Linked DNA regions of Drosophila melanogaster. The gene in region 1 interacts genetically with each later gene. Each region holds a gene or a part of one and is shown on either strand. Other genes may lie near its edges. The genes, in order: mGluR, CaMKII and gb.

What was found.
Region 2: of mGluR (region 1) and CaMKII, changing one suppresses a phenotype caused by changing the other (phenotypic suppression), as found in Drosophila melanogaster (one study listed by BioGRID).
Region 3: of mGluR (region 1) and gb, changing one suppresses a phenotype caused by changing the other (phenotypic suppression), as found in Drosophila melanogaster (one study listed by BioGRID).

What each region holds. Positions count from the first base shown.
Region 1 is NC_004353.4:935,092-939,849, reverse strand, and holds the start of mGluR (metabotropic glutamate receptor), read right to left. Parts: upstream 3,032-4,758; 5' UTR 2,921-3,031; intron 1,519-2,920; 5' UTR 1,421-1,518; coding exon 733-1,420; intron 1-732. UniProt on the Drosophila melanogaster protein: G-protein coupled receptor for glutamate. Ligand binding causes a conformation change that triggers signaling via guanine nucleotide-binding proteins (G proteins) and modulates the activity of down-stream effectors.
Region 2 is NC_004353.4:1,048,243-1,053,283, forward strand, and holds the start of CaMKII (Calcium/calmodulin-dependent protein kinase II), read right to left. Parts: upstream 3,137-5,041; 5' UTR 3,101-3,136; exon of another isoform or gene 2,452-3,100; intron 2,368-2,451; 5' UTR 2,278-2,367; coding exon 2,213-2,277; intron 2,151-2,212; coding exon 2,056-2,150; intron 1,005-2,055; coding exon 945-1,004; intron 317-944; coding exon 262-316; intron 1-261. UniProt on the Drosophila melanogaster protein: A key regulator of plasticity in synaptic physiology and behavior, alterations in its activity produce pleiotrophic effects that involve synaptic transmission and development as well as various aspects of behavior. Directly modulates eag potassium channels.
Region 3 is NT_033777.3:27,107,878-27,114,205, forward strand, and holds gb (genderblind), read right to left. Parts: upstream 4,394-6,328; 5' UTR 3,843-4,393; coding exon 3,394-3,842; intron 3,157-3,393; exon of another isoform or gene 2,771-3,156; coding exon 2,257-2,770; exon of another isoform or gene 2,006-2,256; coding exon 1,805-2,005; exon of another isoform or gene 1,724-1,804; coding exon 1,574-1,723; exon of another isoform or gene 1,452-1,573; intron 1,428-1,451; coding exon 1,250-1,427; intron 1,182-1,249; coding exon 1,120-1,181; 3' UTR 590-1,119; downstream 1-589. Other genes in the region: CG5815 (uncharacterized protein), read left to right, coding at 4,751-4,813, 4,954-6,328.

The DNA.
Region 1 (4,758 bases):
CAAGACAAACAATAACACGAAGAAGTTTCAATACATTTTTCAGAAGTGGGCGTAAGAGTGGGCTCTAGAATCAGCATGCATCATCTCAGCCTTTTAGCTTTCATAGTTCCTGAAATCTGGACGTTCATACGGGACATACTGGACGAACAGACAGACGGACGGACAGGGGCAGATCGACTCGGCTATTGGCCCTTATTAAGAATATATATACTTTACGTTAATAAAAATCAGAATTCGATATTTGTTATCATAAAATTCGGTTTGAATGCCCGTCTGTCCGTATAAACGCCTCAATCTAAGGAAGTATAAAAGCTAGACAATTAAGATTGAGCATGCATGACATAGACGAGGCGCAAGATTGTTTCCCGATGTTGCTCACTCTAACGCCCACAAGCCAAAAATTCCACGCTTAAACTTTTAAAAAACGTTTTTATATTTTATATATAGACTTTTATTGTAAATTTCTATATTTAAAAACATTTTTCTATTCCTCAAACGCCAACAAACCGTACAATACATTTCAATTGTTAATTGTTTTTAATTTTAAACTTCTGTTACTAAGTTCTACCGGTATTTCAGAAAATGTTGAAATTTCTCTTTCGCACTTTTACTAGCTAAGTAACAGGTATCTAATAGTCAGGGCATTCTCTCTTGATTTTTTATTTAATTATGATAAATAATTACCGAAAGGGTATACAATTTTCTGCTTTCAGAACATTGATTAAGACTCACCATAAGATCCTTCCGAATGTATCGTTGATACGTATGACCAGTTAAAGTTTTTTAGTATGTCCACGAGGGCTACGGATTGGAAAGTGTCTGGAGGTACTGTTCGAGCAAACAGATCAAAGCGTGTTTTGTCCGAAAGCGTTTTAGCGGTTGAGGCCGGTGATACTTGAGGAATATGAAACAGACGCAGCAAATTGGCCACTTGCAAGGACACTGAACTGTAGGACCCGCCAATAACTCCAAAAACTGGGCCTGACGAAGCATTTTTTCTTAGTTGCGGGCTTGACCCATCTGCACACTCATATCCTGATGTGTCTAAATTGTTTAGGGATGCTCTGACAAATTGAAGCGACTGATTGAGGGCATATGTGTCTCTTGAACAGGTGTCAAGTATATGGACTCCTATCGTAATTCCAGGAAGTATGTTGGGGTCATTGTTTACACGATCTATAGCATACAGCATTGCTTCCAGGCGTTGAACTCCCCTATTATATACTTTTGGTCCGCAAGGGGCACCTTCACCTTTTTCATGGACCGGAAATAGCCCACCAAGTATAATGTCGCCAGGCAGAGAAACAGACACTGAATCCTGAGTATGTGTGTTACTAGGACTTTTTAAGTCTACTACTCGACTCCAGGATAAAACCATCACGACGACTAAAATTGTTCCGTTATTATTTTTCTGTTTCATCTTTTTAAAGACACGTGGATGATTTAAGTTAACAATGTATTAGGCCCGCAACGTGAAATTCAGGTTCATGTTTTTGCATGTCCTTGGTTGATGCTTGTCTATGGGAACCGAAAAAATTCTATAATTAAAAATATATTACAAGCTTATTATATTTAAACAGAAACAAGAGTTAATGAAATAGTCGAGTTCATCGACTGTCAGATAGCCGTTTCTCAACTTGCTGGAGTGCGATGGAGAAATTTCAACCATTTTTGCCCTGTCGATAGAAATCATAAAAGACAAATCTCTTAACGAAATAAAAACAACAATTTTTCAAAAATGAGTGTGGGCGTTTTTAAGCTAAACAAATAATAATATAAAATAAGAGATAGTCGAGTTCCCCGACTATCAGATATCCGTTACTCAACTGGTGGAAACGCGAACTAGAAAATTCATAAATTTTCTGGTATATCGATAGATATTGGAAAATAAAATGAGAAAAAACTAAAAAATTGTTCAACAGTTTGCGCGTGACAGTTTTGGGCGTATACCGGTGAAATTGGCAAGACAAACAATAAAACGAAGAAAAATCAAAACATTTTCCAAAAGTGTAGGGGTGGTAGGCGTCTTTGTCCCTAGTATCTGTAATCTTTAATAGTTTCTTAGATCTCGACGTTTATTCGGTCGGACAGAAGGACATGACGGGTTGGTTATTGATCCTGATCAAGAATATATATACTTTATATGGTCGAAAACGCTACCCTCTCTTGGTACATACTTTTTAACGAACACACTACGAGTAACGGGTATAAGTAGGGAGAAAGCTATAATAATATTTTTGGCATACCGATACATTTTGAAAATAAAAACAATTAAATCACGTAGGCTCGTTTTTAAATCCATGCCCAATTTTTTCTAAAACTAAAAATATTAAGATTGATATAAATATACTCTCTGCACTGGTATTAAAACAAAAAATGAGTATTTACTTAGCACACCAGGTAAAACATTATTTATAGCCAAAATTGTTGGGCACTTCCAACAGGTGTGGGATTGTCAGAACACCAAGCATTTTCATAATACTTGGTTTTCTATATAATTTAGTGGTTCTTGCCTGTGGTAAAAGCACTATTAACACGTAACAGCAAAAGCTTTGGAATGTAAGGACAAGCCAAGTACCAAAAAGAATGGTACTGATGATGGCGTTGCTCTGAAGCTGCAAAAGCAATGTGTTAGCGAAAGCCCTAAAAAAGGGCACTCATACTTATCTGCAGTTATTTTCATATATGTACAAAGTTATTGTAAAATATTGAGTCCTTTACAGTAGGTTTCATGTGCAACTATCTTATGTACGTGTGGAAAAGTGCAACTTTTTTAATTGTGTTTATTTTTGTCAACGAGATTCCTTGTTTTATGATGAACATTGAACAACTTTAAAATGTGCAATAATTAATAAATTTTATCACTATTCACAACTCTTTTCTTTAGAAAAATTATTTATAATGTTCACAATTAAATTACCTTTTTTCTTATTTAAATTCTTATACAACTTTATCGCAACATTTCTTAAAACCTTTTTTATATTTAACTAATACGCGCACGTCTTGTCCTACCATTACCAGTTGGTTGACTGATTTATCCATGATAAGCTAACACGAAATCAGTTCTTGTAGAGGCAGCAGCAGCACAACAACAACCAAGAAATGGGTACCAGCAGCAGTGGCCAAGTAAAAGAACAACAATACTAGCAACAATCTACAACAATCCTTCTAACTGTCCATCTCTCACGGAATTTGAGAGAGAAAGCACCATTACGGCAGCATACCAAAGAGAAAAAAGCATTAATGCTCTCTCATGAAAATTTAATAACGGTTTTTAAGAGAGCTGTGTAGTCTTACTCCTTACCACCTGTCTAACAATGGTTTTTCACTATACTCATTGTGTTCGTTTTACACGGGCACACTAATGGACTTTTCCTAGGGATGTTGCAATAAGCACAACAGTTTTTTCTGGAGCTCGAATTTCAGTAAAAATGTTGTAGCTCTAAATTCGTCAAATAGAAATGTACTTTTCCACATCTTGTTTTTTTACTTAGTTCGATTTACTAAAATTAACAAATAATTAAAACAATTAAATTTGCGTCATCTTTGCGGCGTTTAATCATCTGTATTTGCCTTATGTATATATACTATACTATACATATGTATATATACTTGTATATAGATACATACATATTTATATATTATATTATTGATAATAACTACAGAAATTTGAACTATCGATATATTCCAGATCTTAAATTAAGAAAGTTATATACCATCCTCAAAATATAAAACAATTATCCAGATGAGGTACGTCAGCACATACATATAGGAAAACACATTCTCTTTTAAGAAAATTAACATATTTATATACTCGATAACGTAGGTGATAAGTGTATACTAGATATGTTGAAAGGTATGTAACAGGTGGGGAAAAAAATTTCGACCATATTATGTATTTATACTTATATAGCCGAGTCAAATAAAACGCCCATGCCCACTTTAAAGCCCACTGATGTAATATTGTTCATTGTATGTCTTGTTCAATTTGGCAAAAAATTTGTTCACGCGCCCATTCCGTCCACACAATTGAGACATGTTTCTAATTATCTGAAAAAATTTTATGTTTTCCAAATTTATATCGGTGTACCAATTAGATGTTGGCCACGCCCCTCTAGCACCCACAAGCCTGCCAAACCTGTAATGCTTATTACATAAATATTAAACTAATAAGAAATGCATAAATTTTTTAAGTTTTTAGCAAGGACCTTTACAGTCTAGGCAAAGACACTAGAATAACAAGATGCGTAACGGCCATACATTGGTTTGGCACTATGCAGCCACTTTTTTGGTGACGGCCAAAATTACTCTCTTTCCGCTCACTCCCGCGGAGTTTGCTTGCTTGTGTGAGTAAAAACAAGAGACGAGAACGCGTATATGTGTGCGCGTTGTGCTAGAAGACGATTTTCGGACCGAAATCAATTCTGATCGAAGAAACGAATTTACATTGTACATATTAGGGTAGTTTTTGCCAATTTCGTAGCAATATGATAAAATAAAAATTTTTTTAAAAATTCGCGTCCTGACTATTATAATTTTAAAGTTTTTAAATTTGTTTGTTAAAATTTGTTACGTTTAATTCTAATTTGTCTCTCATCTGACAATTTTTTAAAAGCGAAATATTTTTTTTGAAACACTTTTAATGCTAATGTTACATCACTTTAAGTCAAATGACTTAATAAATATACTAATTAATTAAAGGAAGTACAATAGAAATTATTAAAACTACTGTAATTTCATAAATTTCATATTATTATA
Region 2 (5,041 bases), 110 kb from region 1:
CTAATATAACAAAAATATATTGCGGCTAAAACTTGATTCATATTATATTATATATATTATATTGCGGCTTTAAAATTTGATTCATATTCATATTATAGTATGAACGAACGGAGGGAAAAGGATGAAGTATGAATCTCAATAAACAATAGTCGAGTCATTGCCACATTTACAAGCATTTGTTAGAAACTCATATTTTTAAAACACTTTTGGGGATAGGCAATTTAAATATTTGGTAAGGAGTCTATGCAGGTTAATGCTTACAGGTCAAAAACAAGGTAGTGATAGTTCTCCTCCTGTATACTGTCATGTAGCCGCACTGAAATTGTACATATTAACAATTTATTAGTTGTATACATTTGTATTTAATGTTTTTTTTTTACGGATGACAATGATTATAAGCCTTAAAGGCTATAAAAATATATGTTTATAAAATACATTTTGAACATATTATATATTTTGTCGGTGACGCTGGAGGAAGTGATGTTTCTAGATTTGAACTGTCCGTGTAAATAACTGTTTTGTTAGGTTACGCTTTTAGTGAGAGGAAAGTCTATTGCATGAGTTCGGTTTTTGCTGTTCTGCAAGTTTTTATAATTATTATAATTATAAATTACTTGGAAGATTTGTTATTGGAGAGTAGGGAGGGCGAGGAATGGAATGTTGCTTGCAGATGCGGATTGATATATCTACTAAACTCTATTTTATTTTTTTCTTCGTTGTGTTACCGTGGACGTCAAACCATCCTTTATCAGGATCACATTGCAAGTCATCAACACTACTGGGGTCTAAGCCGTGATTGAATGTACATATAAAAATTATGTATAGTAGATGTTCAAAGTGATATTAGGCCATGTTCGTCTACTTTTATGTAGATCATACATCTTCAGAAAAACGTATCTTTAAAGAATAAGTAAGTAAATTATATTTATATACACGTTGCATACCTATGTTGGGATGGTGTAACTTTCTGCAGATCCTTGCTTCACGTTCCAGTTTTTGAAAGTCTAAAAGCAAAAAAAAAAAATATATATATATATATATTATAAGCATCTCTTATATGCATACATGCATGTGTACAAATATGTTAATAAGAGGTTTTTGGCGAGCAAGCAAATGGTTCTCTCTAAGCCCAAAATTTGTCCCAGCTGTCATGCTCAAACTTCTTAAAAGTTATTTAATATATTTTTTGTAAATTACACACTTTGCCAATACTGCTATTCCAAAATTATTTTGGCCACGTCTTGGCAGTAAAAATTTATTAATTACTAAATAGCACAACACCAAGAAATACAACTTAATTACTGTAGAACTATTTGATACTTGTGTGGCAAATAGATAGGGACGACGAAGATATTACACAAAAAGAATGGTCCCTTCCAAAAGCGTACTTAGCAAAAAGAAAGTACATTTTACAGGAAAACTTTTTGACAGTCAATGTTTACTACTGATTTCTTACGATATGCCATATCGCCGTTGAAAAAACGGCATCAGATACCAGTTACTCAGCTAGTGTGAATGGGAACGCGAAATTTCATCATTTTTCTAGGATAACGATAGATATTGGGGAATAAAATAAGAAAAAAGTTTAAAAATTGGTCCAAAGTGTGGACGTGACCGGTTGGCGGCTTTTAAGCAAATCGATAGAAGTTAAAGGGCGTTAGAATGGGCGTGGCAAACTTTTTTTTGAGCAAATCGATAGAAATTTACAAGACCAATACAAATGTGAAAAAATATCAACACATTTTTCAAAAGTGAGGGCGTGGCGCATGTGGCAACATGGGTCAACAAACTTGCGCTGCGTATTTGTTTCTAAAATCTGTATGCCTTCTAGCTTGTATAGTTTCTGAGATCTCGACGACCATACGGAGAGACGGACTCGGCTATTGATCCTGATCAAGAATATACATACTTTCCAAGGATCAAGGATCTAGTATACCCTTTTACTGTACTCGACGAATTACCTAAAAACAGCACTTAGTTTCCCTACATGCGTGTGCATAGCATAAATGCGTACATATGTGATTTATAACCTACATAGAACACAGAAAGCCTTACCTCTGGCAGTTAATTTTTTTGTATTGATAATTTTTGCAGCAAATTCAAAGCCAGTTGACTTTTGGACACATCTTTTCACAATTGAGAATGCTCCTCTGAAATGTTAATAGACGGGTTATTATAATAAATTTATTAACCTTGAGTTTGTTAAACTTACTTTCCCAACTCTTCTTTGATGTCGTAATTGTCCGAAAAACGCGTACAGGCTGCTGGTGCAGCCATCGCGATGGCACACTTAAGAAAATCTATTGCGACTAAAGATCTTCAACTGCTCTACAGATTTCACTTTTCAGGAGTTTTATTTCTTGTTTTCTAAACGATTTTTAAATATAAGATAATAAATCAGTTTTACAAAAATTATACAAAAAATTGCTTACAACGTACAAACATACATACATTGTTGTACCATTTAGGTACCATGGGCCTTCTCTAAATATTATTTTGTTATAAAGTAATCACTAGCTGGTTCAAAAGTTTCAGACAGCGTTGGTTCTATGGTATCCAAAGGGGTACTGCATGTATTTGAGAATCCCCCGGCCATCATAGTATAAACTTGCATTCTTCTCTGTATAAGATCGGGCATGAAGCTCGTAAAGTAAAGCTCGCCAATGTAATTCAGAAGTATTCAGAGCACAGATTAGGTAACTTATTTCATAGAAACACATATCGGTAAAATTAAAAGAATGTCTCGCTATTCCAATTTTAAAATTCTATATTACTCAGTGGAGTCGATGCAAAACAGACCAGCAATCTACATATAGTTCTTCAAATTTTAAATGGTTTGTAATAATATAAGGGTTATGTTATTTTAAACAGCCGCAGGTTTCTTATTGAGTTGGTAATTCAAGTGAGTTCTCTTAAAGCACGTTGCTTAAACTAGAAAACTCGACCTCCATTTTGAAGATTTTGGTGGTTGAAGTTTTTTCATGTGATCATGAAATCATACGAAAAAACACCATACTTCGCAAGAAACAACATGTGCGGGGGCACAAATTGAAAAATGTCTGAAAATGTATTATCCTATCTCAAACGTTGAATCTGATACCTTGTTGTTGCCTAGAGATGACATGACATTCGATAGACGAAAAATGTAATAAACTCGATTATTAAACATAGGGGTCAACTCCTTACCAAAGCTACACTTAACTGTTCCCCATGCACATCAAAATAGCAAAGGTATCTACATATGTAAAACCATAACTCCGCGGTTAGTGCAGTGTAAACGGGCCTTACATCGATATGCATATCAACCACTCAGTGGCGTTTTCAATATCAAATTAAACTATGGCCCTGAAAAAATACGAATCCATTGCAGAATTAAAACAAGAGAAAACGCTATAGTAAAGCTTTTCGACTATCAGATAATTGTTACTCAGCTAGTGGAAGTATGAACGAGAATATTAAACATTTTTCTGGCGTACCGATTAAAATTGGCAAAACAATTTCAACAATTTTTTGAAAAAAAATAAACGAAAACTTAAAAAGGGCATGGCACAATCTTAACTTTCTAGCTTTTATAGTTCCTGAGATCGTGGAGTTCATACAGATAGACGGACATGAAAATTCGACTCGGCTATTGATCCTGGTGAAGACTATATATAGTTTAAACGCTCGGAAACGCGTCGTTCTGCAAGTTACATACTTTTCAACGAAGCTAGTGTGATAGCCAGCTGATCAAGAGCAGCAACAATCATTACTATTAACCTATATTACGTATTGAGTAAAGGAATAAAAAATGGAAATTATTTTTTCGTTTTACTTTCCAGTTATTATAGTTTCAGCGGTAACAGCGTTGATACGGACGACAGGCATGGGATAAAGCATGCAAATTTGTTTTCTTGAGAACCAGACATTTAATCCGCCTAAAACTGTAACTCCAATTTTTTTGAAAAATAATTTGCTTCTTTCAGTCTTGAAATCTTTTATTTCGATTTTGCCCACACATTTACAAAGTGTTTTGTTTTTTTGTTTCATTATTTTTATTTATTCTTTTATTTTGCACATTTCTGTCGGGTTGTTAAATAGTCGATGAACTACTGTCACGTTCTCTCTTGTTTTATACCTCTCCGTGAGGTTTGTTTTTTGCCATATCCGGTAACAGCGGTACTGTTAGTTTTTAGTTTGTTGTACGTGTTTTTTTAAAACTAGACCCAATCACCATGAAAAAGAAGTGTTTCCCTGGAAAAGGTATATGTAGACCCTTAATTGCACCCTCGCAATTTTGAAATAACATACTTATAATATAATATTGTCAAGTCAAATGTTACGAAAAGTTTAAAATTTGTGATCAAAACTTTATTATCTTTGTTTTAAACCAGATATATTTAACTCTCATTGACATATTTCAATCAATTAAAAAAAGCGACAGGTGTTTTTGGTTAATTTCTTAAAAAAGAAAATCCTGATTATGAGAATGTATCTGGGAAGCAGTTATATATATACGTACATATATATGTAGGTATGTATCCTTTGCAGGTTACATGCGTTGAAGCTTTTTTTGATGAGCTTAATGGTAAAACGCCCCACCCCTTTTAGCAAGGATATTTCAGGGTCTTGGAAATTACTTGTTGCAAATTATACTTTTTCATTAAATCATATAAACACGCGCTATGTACGCGAATTAAATATACTATTTGGATGAGACCTTCAGAAATGTTTTACTAAACCCATTTTTCGGACTAGGAGGGACGATATATAGAATGTGAAACACTTTTTTAAAATTAAAAAAAAAGCATTTATCATAACTCGTAAGTATTTAGGTATGTTTTAAACTTTCTTGTAGATATCAAGAGTAATTTGTAAGATGTATGTATATTGTGCAATAACAATTACAAAATTTTTAAGTGTCATATATTTATATTTACTGCGTAACTGAACAAAGGCACAAAATGGGGTACATACTGATGTTGTATAAATGTCCTTTTAAGATATAAGTGAAGCGTGTGAATATATATATTAACTTTACAATATGCAATCGTTATACGCG
Region 3 (6,328 bases), on another chromosome or scaffold:
TCCTCGAGTCGCAATAACTCAATTATTTGGCCATAATGAAAAACATCAAATCCGATTGAGGCAATTTTACGAGCGATCTGGTAACTAGACATACTCACTCCTCGCATATAAATACTTAAAAAGACATTAAACGAGACGCCGAATACGGTGCATACAAATCAGCCCACTACTCTCGCCCAGATTTCGCATAGACGGGCGCACCTGCAAACCGTGCTGAGAATCCCAGATAAGCGCACCAGTTTTATCAATTAAAAACACCTAGACGGTAGAATGGATCCGCACGGAATACTCTATCAGTGATCGAATATAGAGTTGGCGTCATTCCACAAGCCTCCGAGTGTCCAAAATGTCAATGGGGGCGACAGGAGGCGATTTATTTTTGGCCAAAAATCGCGACTTGTCGTCCGTCGAGAATGGCTTAAAATAGACCCATTACTTATCAGCCCTAATTGATTAGCGAAGGCATGGGCTTACATCCCACGCAATGCTCAATCAATTCAACCTTATCAATTGTTTTGCTTTATCATTCGCTAAAATCTTGTGGCATACTTTCGCGAGGGGCGCCTAAAAGATTGAATTCAAAGCGGTTCGTCGATGAAACGTACAAAAATCTTTATTACAAACTGCAATGCAATGCACTTAGGTAGTAAAATGAGGGACAAAAACAATAACCGAATTTTTAAACAATAAGCAACAGAAGATTATATGAAACTGCTTTATATGGCAAATATCGACCTGAATATCGCACCTTTGGCAAACAGTTTTGGCTTACTTTGGTTTAGATTTCGAATTTAATGAGTGCAAAATAAATGCTAAACTAGAACTCAATACTAAACTACTATTCGAAGAATTTGCACTTTAGGTAAAAGTTTTTGTCATGGTTTATAAATATAAATATAGAAATATGATAGTATTGACTTCGTTCTCCAGTCCTTGTGATGTACAGGTCATGTTTTCCGCTTTTTTAGGTATTTTCGTTTTTTGGTATTCAGGTTTAACGAGCCAAGCTTTCTCGTTCTCAAGCTTTCACATCAATATAGAGATTTAATAGGTAGTTATTTGGAGGGCCAAATAGCTAGATCGTTTTGAAAAATGATTCCATTTCATTTCGATGGCAGTTTAGTCCTCCTTCTCCTCTTTGGCGGACATGAAGAGCTTCTGGCAAGTGAAGGTCACCGAGTCTACAAAGGAAAACCATATAAATGTCGGACAATGCCACACATTGGGGTTAATGTGAAGGGCTACTCACCAATCGTGCTCTGCACCCATTTCGGCTTATTCTTCCACACGACGCCCACGTAGTAGAAAGGTATGCCAATTATGGTGATTAATACCCCCATTCCGACCTCATAGGGCGCCACATAGATGGGCACGACAACTAAGAATGCGCACACGATGACGAATAGGGCGGGAATCCACATGGCGACCTGTGCCAGGAACAAATATAGTTAGAATAGTCTTGCTAAACTGTTAGGCTCAAAGACATAATCAAAGTATTTAAATTTTTGTCAGTACAAAGATTTCGTTGGCTGTAGAACGTCTACATTGGCAATACTGATTACGCTAAACTCACTTTAATTGGCCGCTCCATGCAGGGACGGGTGTAGCGGAAATATAGAACCGCCGACACCGACAACATTATAAAGAACGATTCCACAATGCTGGCGTAGGTGATCAGCACATACACATCGCTCACCACCAGCATCACAATGGAGAGAAAGCACTGCCGAGAGGGACACAGTCAAATCAATTAGGGATTAATTACATAATATCATTTGTGCGCTAATTGAGGAGCGCAGCTCACCAGAAAAACGAGCGACGGCAGTGGGGTGTAGCTCTTTACGCTGATGTGCGACAGAATCGCCGGCATGTGTCCATTGCGGGCACCCACGAAGCAGATGCGGGAGGAGGTCATGATGTGGACGGAAAGGCCGCCAAAAGCAGATATGGCCACCATGAGGGGTATGATCAGTGAAAACACGCCGAGAATCTTATCGCCAAAGGTCTGTGAAGAGAAGTGATCAATTAAAATCATTTGAAAATCCACTGGTTTAATTGACTTTTGCGATTCCGATCAAATAAATTAAAATTCCCAGCAGTCTATCGCAATTTTGCGAATTTAAGCTACAAATAGACAAAGTCGGACATTATAGGGCTTGCATTATGCTTGATAACTAACAGATTTTAAGCTTTTAAGTAAATTAGTAATTTGACTGCCTAATCTGATCGGACTGCAAATCGTGGATAAACTCTTACCACAGCGATGGCATTGGATGCGATCATCTCCGAGGGCGACAGCACGGCCAGATAAGCCACATTGGCCAGCACATAAATGCCGGTGACCAGAGGTAGGGAGATGTAAATGGCGCGCGGCAGGTTGCGATATGGATCGCGGAGCTCCTCCGTCATGAAGTTCAAGTAATTCCATCCGGCATAGGAAAAGATACCGGAGTAAAAGGCTACCGACATCTTGCCGGGATCAGTCTCAGTGTTATCAAAGGGTCTCGTGAAGTTCTCCACGTTGCCCATCATCATCCAGACCAGGCCTACCAGGATGATCAAGACCAGGGCGGCGATCTTGGTGAACATGATGACGTTTTGCATCTTGGTGGTCACCTTCATGTAGTACGAATTCAGGTAGGTTAGGAAGCAGATGGTGATGGCTGCCAGGAGCTGTAACGCTATTTTGGGAATCTCACAGGCTCCGCCGAAGAAGGGTTCCAGCACGTAGGAGGCAAAGGTCAGGCCCATAATGGCATTGGTCGTTGGTCTGTCAGAGATAAGAGCACACAATCAGTGGAAATTTTTTTGCAGACTGCATTCAGACATATGTCCTGCTGATAATGTCCGCATGCAAAAGTAGAAAAGCAGATATTTTCGCTTATCGCCGATCCTAAACAACAAATATAGCAGGCAATAAAACGCTCAATGCAGAACTCGCGGAACTGTTCAATAAATAAACTTATATAGCGCAGATTAAATGATAAGGCTCGTTTCACTTTCTAATGCTCTAATACACAACCCATGGCTTAACCTTGAAAAACCGGATGCATCCACACCAATCCGAAGTATTCCATTCTTCTAGTCTTATCTGAGAAGTTATTAAACTTGACCCAGTCTAAAAATCAGATTCTGTAGGACTACTTCACTTCATTCAATCTACATACATATGTTATTTCGTTAAAAAAAACGTAAAAACGCAAAAAAGAAAAAAAAATGTCAGCTATTACTTTTACTCTAATGGGTTCCTTCTGGCGATAATAAAGTAATTCGAAATCAATTACCGAAAGGAATTTGATACTGTATTTATGTTTTTCGAACCAACTGTGATAAGGGAACTTTAACGGCGAAATATTCGCGAATATTAAAACAATATTGACCAGTAAGACTCACACGAATATCATCATGGCATCCCAGAGATACAGGAAAGCCGGCAGTGATCCGTAGGCCTCGAAGATATACGCGTAATCCCCCCCAGATTTTGGTATGGCAGTACCAAGTTCCGCGTAGCAAAGAGCACCAATCATGGACAGCAGTCCGCAGAGAACCCAGATGACCAGCGAAGCGCCCACGGACTCCACCTCCCGGATGACGCCTTTCGGAGAAACAAAGATACCGGATCCGAAGATGATGCCCAGGATGATGGCCACTCCTTCGAGGAGGCCCAGCTGCTTCTTGATCACAACCCTGCTGCTGTCTGACTCGGCGGATCCCTCGCGACACTGAGCTTTCTCGGCAGGATTAGCCGCTGGTTGGGCAATGCTGGAGGGAGGATTGCCGGAGCTGGGGGTCAGCAGGACCATTTCGCTGGACGGCGACTGCAGTTCATCGGCGGCGGGCATGGCGGCTATATATGTACGTATTATGTCCTAGGGCTATGGTATTATTATCCCGCTGCTCTGTGACACAATCTTCGCACGCGACGTCTGAAAGCGAACTGTAACTGTTTCTTTGGCCGTTGTCCCGTTAATTGATTAAACGAGGCAAGTGTGTTCGTGGGTGTGACTCCGTGTACATATGTGCGTGTGTGTATATTTCTTAATGTGTTTTTCAATTGTATTGTATTTGGCTTATCTACTCCTGCTCTTCCTCTTCTTCCTTTTCCGCCGGCTAGCGTTAGTTTGTTTTGGTCGGCTCTTCGCTAGCTGCCGTCTCGCTCGCACCAGCAACACACCCTGCAGTTGAGTCTATCGCACATAAAACTCGCGATTTAAAAGAACAATTCACACTCTGTCTCGCGGAATTCGGTTAATGGGTCTGGTAAATAAGGGCAGACATCGAGGTGTAACCGCCAAATTGTGCAAACTCTGCGGTTTAATTGTGGAATTGGCACAACGTTGCTCAAAGGTTTTTCAACCCCACGTTTTCTCGAGCATCGCAGCAGTGTGACCAGCGCCCGGCTGACTGTAGAATATCAATTGATGCTGGGGTGTTTTTCTTGCGAGCTACAGGGTGCAATTTTTTATTCAAAAATAATATATATACAATATGGCCCCGCCGACTTTCCCGCTGTCGGTCCCGTACATAAGGGTAAAATGAAATTGAAAACTGAATTTTATACATTCCATATATTGAAATATTAACGAGAATTAATATACAATTACTGCGTGAGCGTACGTGCTCTCACGTGCTCTCCTCTGATTTCTTATCGAAACGAAAAGTAGACCACGTCTATCGCCTATCGCCAATCGATATCAGTATCCAAATAGATGAGCTAAAAGCAAATCGACAGAGAAATACAGATCACAAAATGGATTTTGGGGACCTGCTGCGCTACGCGAAAAAAAATAGTGATGCGGTCACCAAGGAGGTGGTGGGTATCATGCAGATGTCCAGTTCGTCCATCGCGTGAGATTTTATGCTTGGAAAACGCGGTTGCGCCTGCATTCCCTTTGTGACCCAAAATAATTTATATTCGATCTGATCATTGTAATTTTTCTCCTCTATCGCCAGGGGCAGGGGAAATACTACAGCACCAAGTATTCGCCCCCCAAGAAGCAGTCCAAGGAGTCCAAGCAGCTGTCCAGCAACATCCAGAAGTTTCTCCAAAAGAAGGAGGCCGAGGAGGCGGAAAAGAAACGGCTGGAGCGCCAGAAACTCAACGATCTGCTCGCCAAAAGAGACGAAAAGTCCAAGAACAAGATACGTAAAATGCTAAAGGTAACCAAATCGGCCAACAAATCAGTGCTGGAGGATGCCAAAGACTACGAGGGGGCCATCGACGGCCACGAGGCGGGCGAGGGTCAGGGCGATGACTACGGCTACGTGTCCACTGAAGCGAATGCCTTTTACGATAAGTACATTGAAAAGGTACGCGATGTACAGGAAGACAAGGGATTCACGCCCAGCAGGCCACAGTCGCTAAAAGATCTCTCTGGGACCAAGGAGCGCGTGAAGGCGGCCATTACCAGGGAACGAGAGGAGGCCAAGGGTAACACACGTCAGAAAAGCAGCACAAGCACACTCCCATCCAGCGCTACCAAGTCGAAGGAGTCCTCCGTGGCCCGTTCTTACAGTACCTCCAAGACTCTTTATGATCCGAACGCAGAGAAGCTCGAGGAGGAGCGCAAAAAGCGGCAGGAGGAGGAGCAGCGCCGGGCGAAGATAAAACGACCTGCTCAGCCGCCGCCCATGGACTTCCAAGCCTTGCTTCGCTTAGCTGAAAAGAAACAGCACGAGCCCGTGGTTTTTGAGGTGGAGAAAAAAAAGGAACCAGAGCGTTTGTTGTCGGCCCGTGAGAAACGCGAGTTGGAAGAGCGCCAGCGGCAACAGGAGCAGCGCGCCCAGCGTCTCAAGATGCGCGAAAGTGAAGGCAAGGAGACTCCGAAATCCATCCCCAATCGCATGGAGCCTAACGGACGCATCCCCAAGCTTAATCAAGCCAAGCCAGCCAATGCACCAAGTGATAGTTTTAAAAAACCAACTGCCCCACAGCCAACGAAAAGCAGCGCGAGCTCCACCAGTTTATCCAGTTCCAATTCCCATTCCTCCGCCAGTCGCAGTTCTGTCTCGAGCTCAAGGCCCGCTACTAAATCAGCTCAATTGACTGCCAGACCTGGCGCAACTGCATCGGCGGTTGGAAAACCGAGCTCCAGCTCTAGCAGGGATGTCCCATCCAAGAACCCCTATGCAGCTACTTCCCTAAAGGGAACTGTAAGGGAGTTTCCACCTAGGGATCAGTCAAGCATCTCAACCTTGGATCGCCGAAAAATTCCGGCAGCTGCAAAGACGCGACAGACTCCTTCATCGGATGTTCAGAGATCACAGGGCGGGCGGCAATTCCCGCCCGCAGATGTCAAGAGACGAAAACCTAACGAGCCGCCAGTCA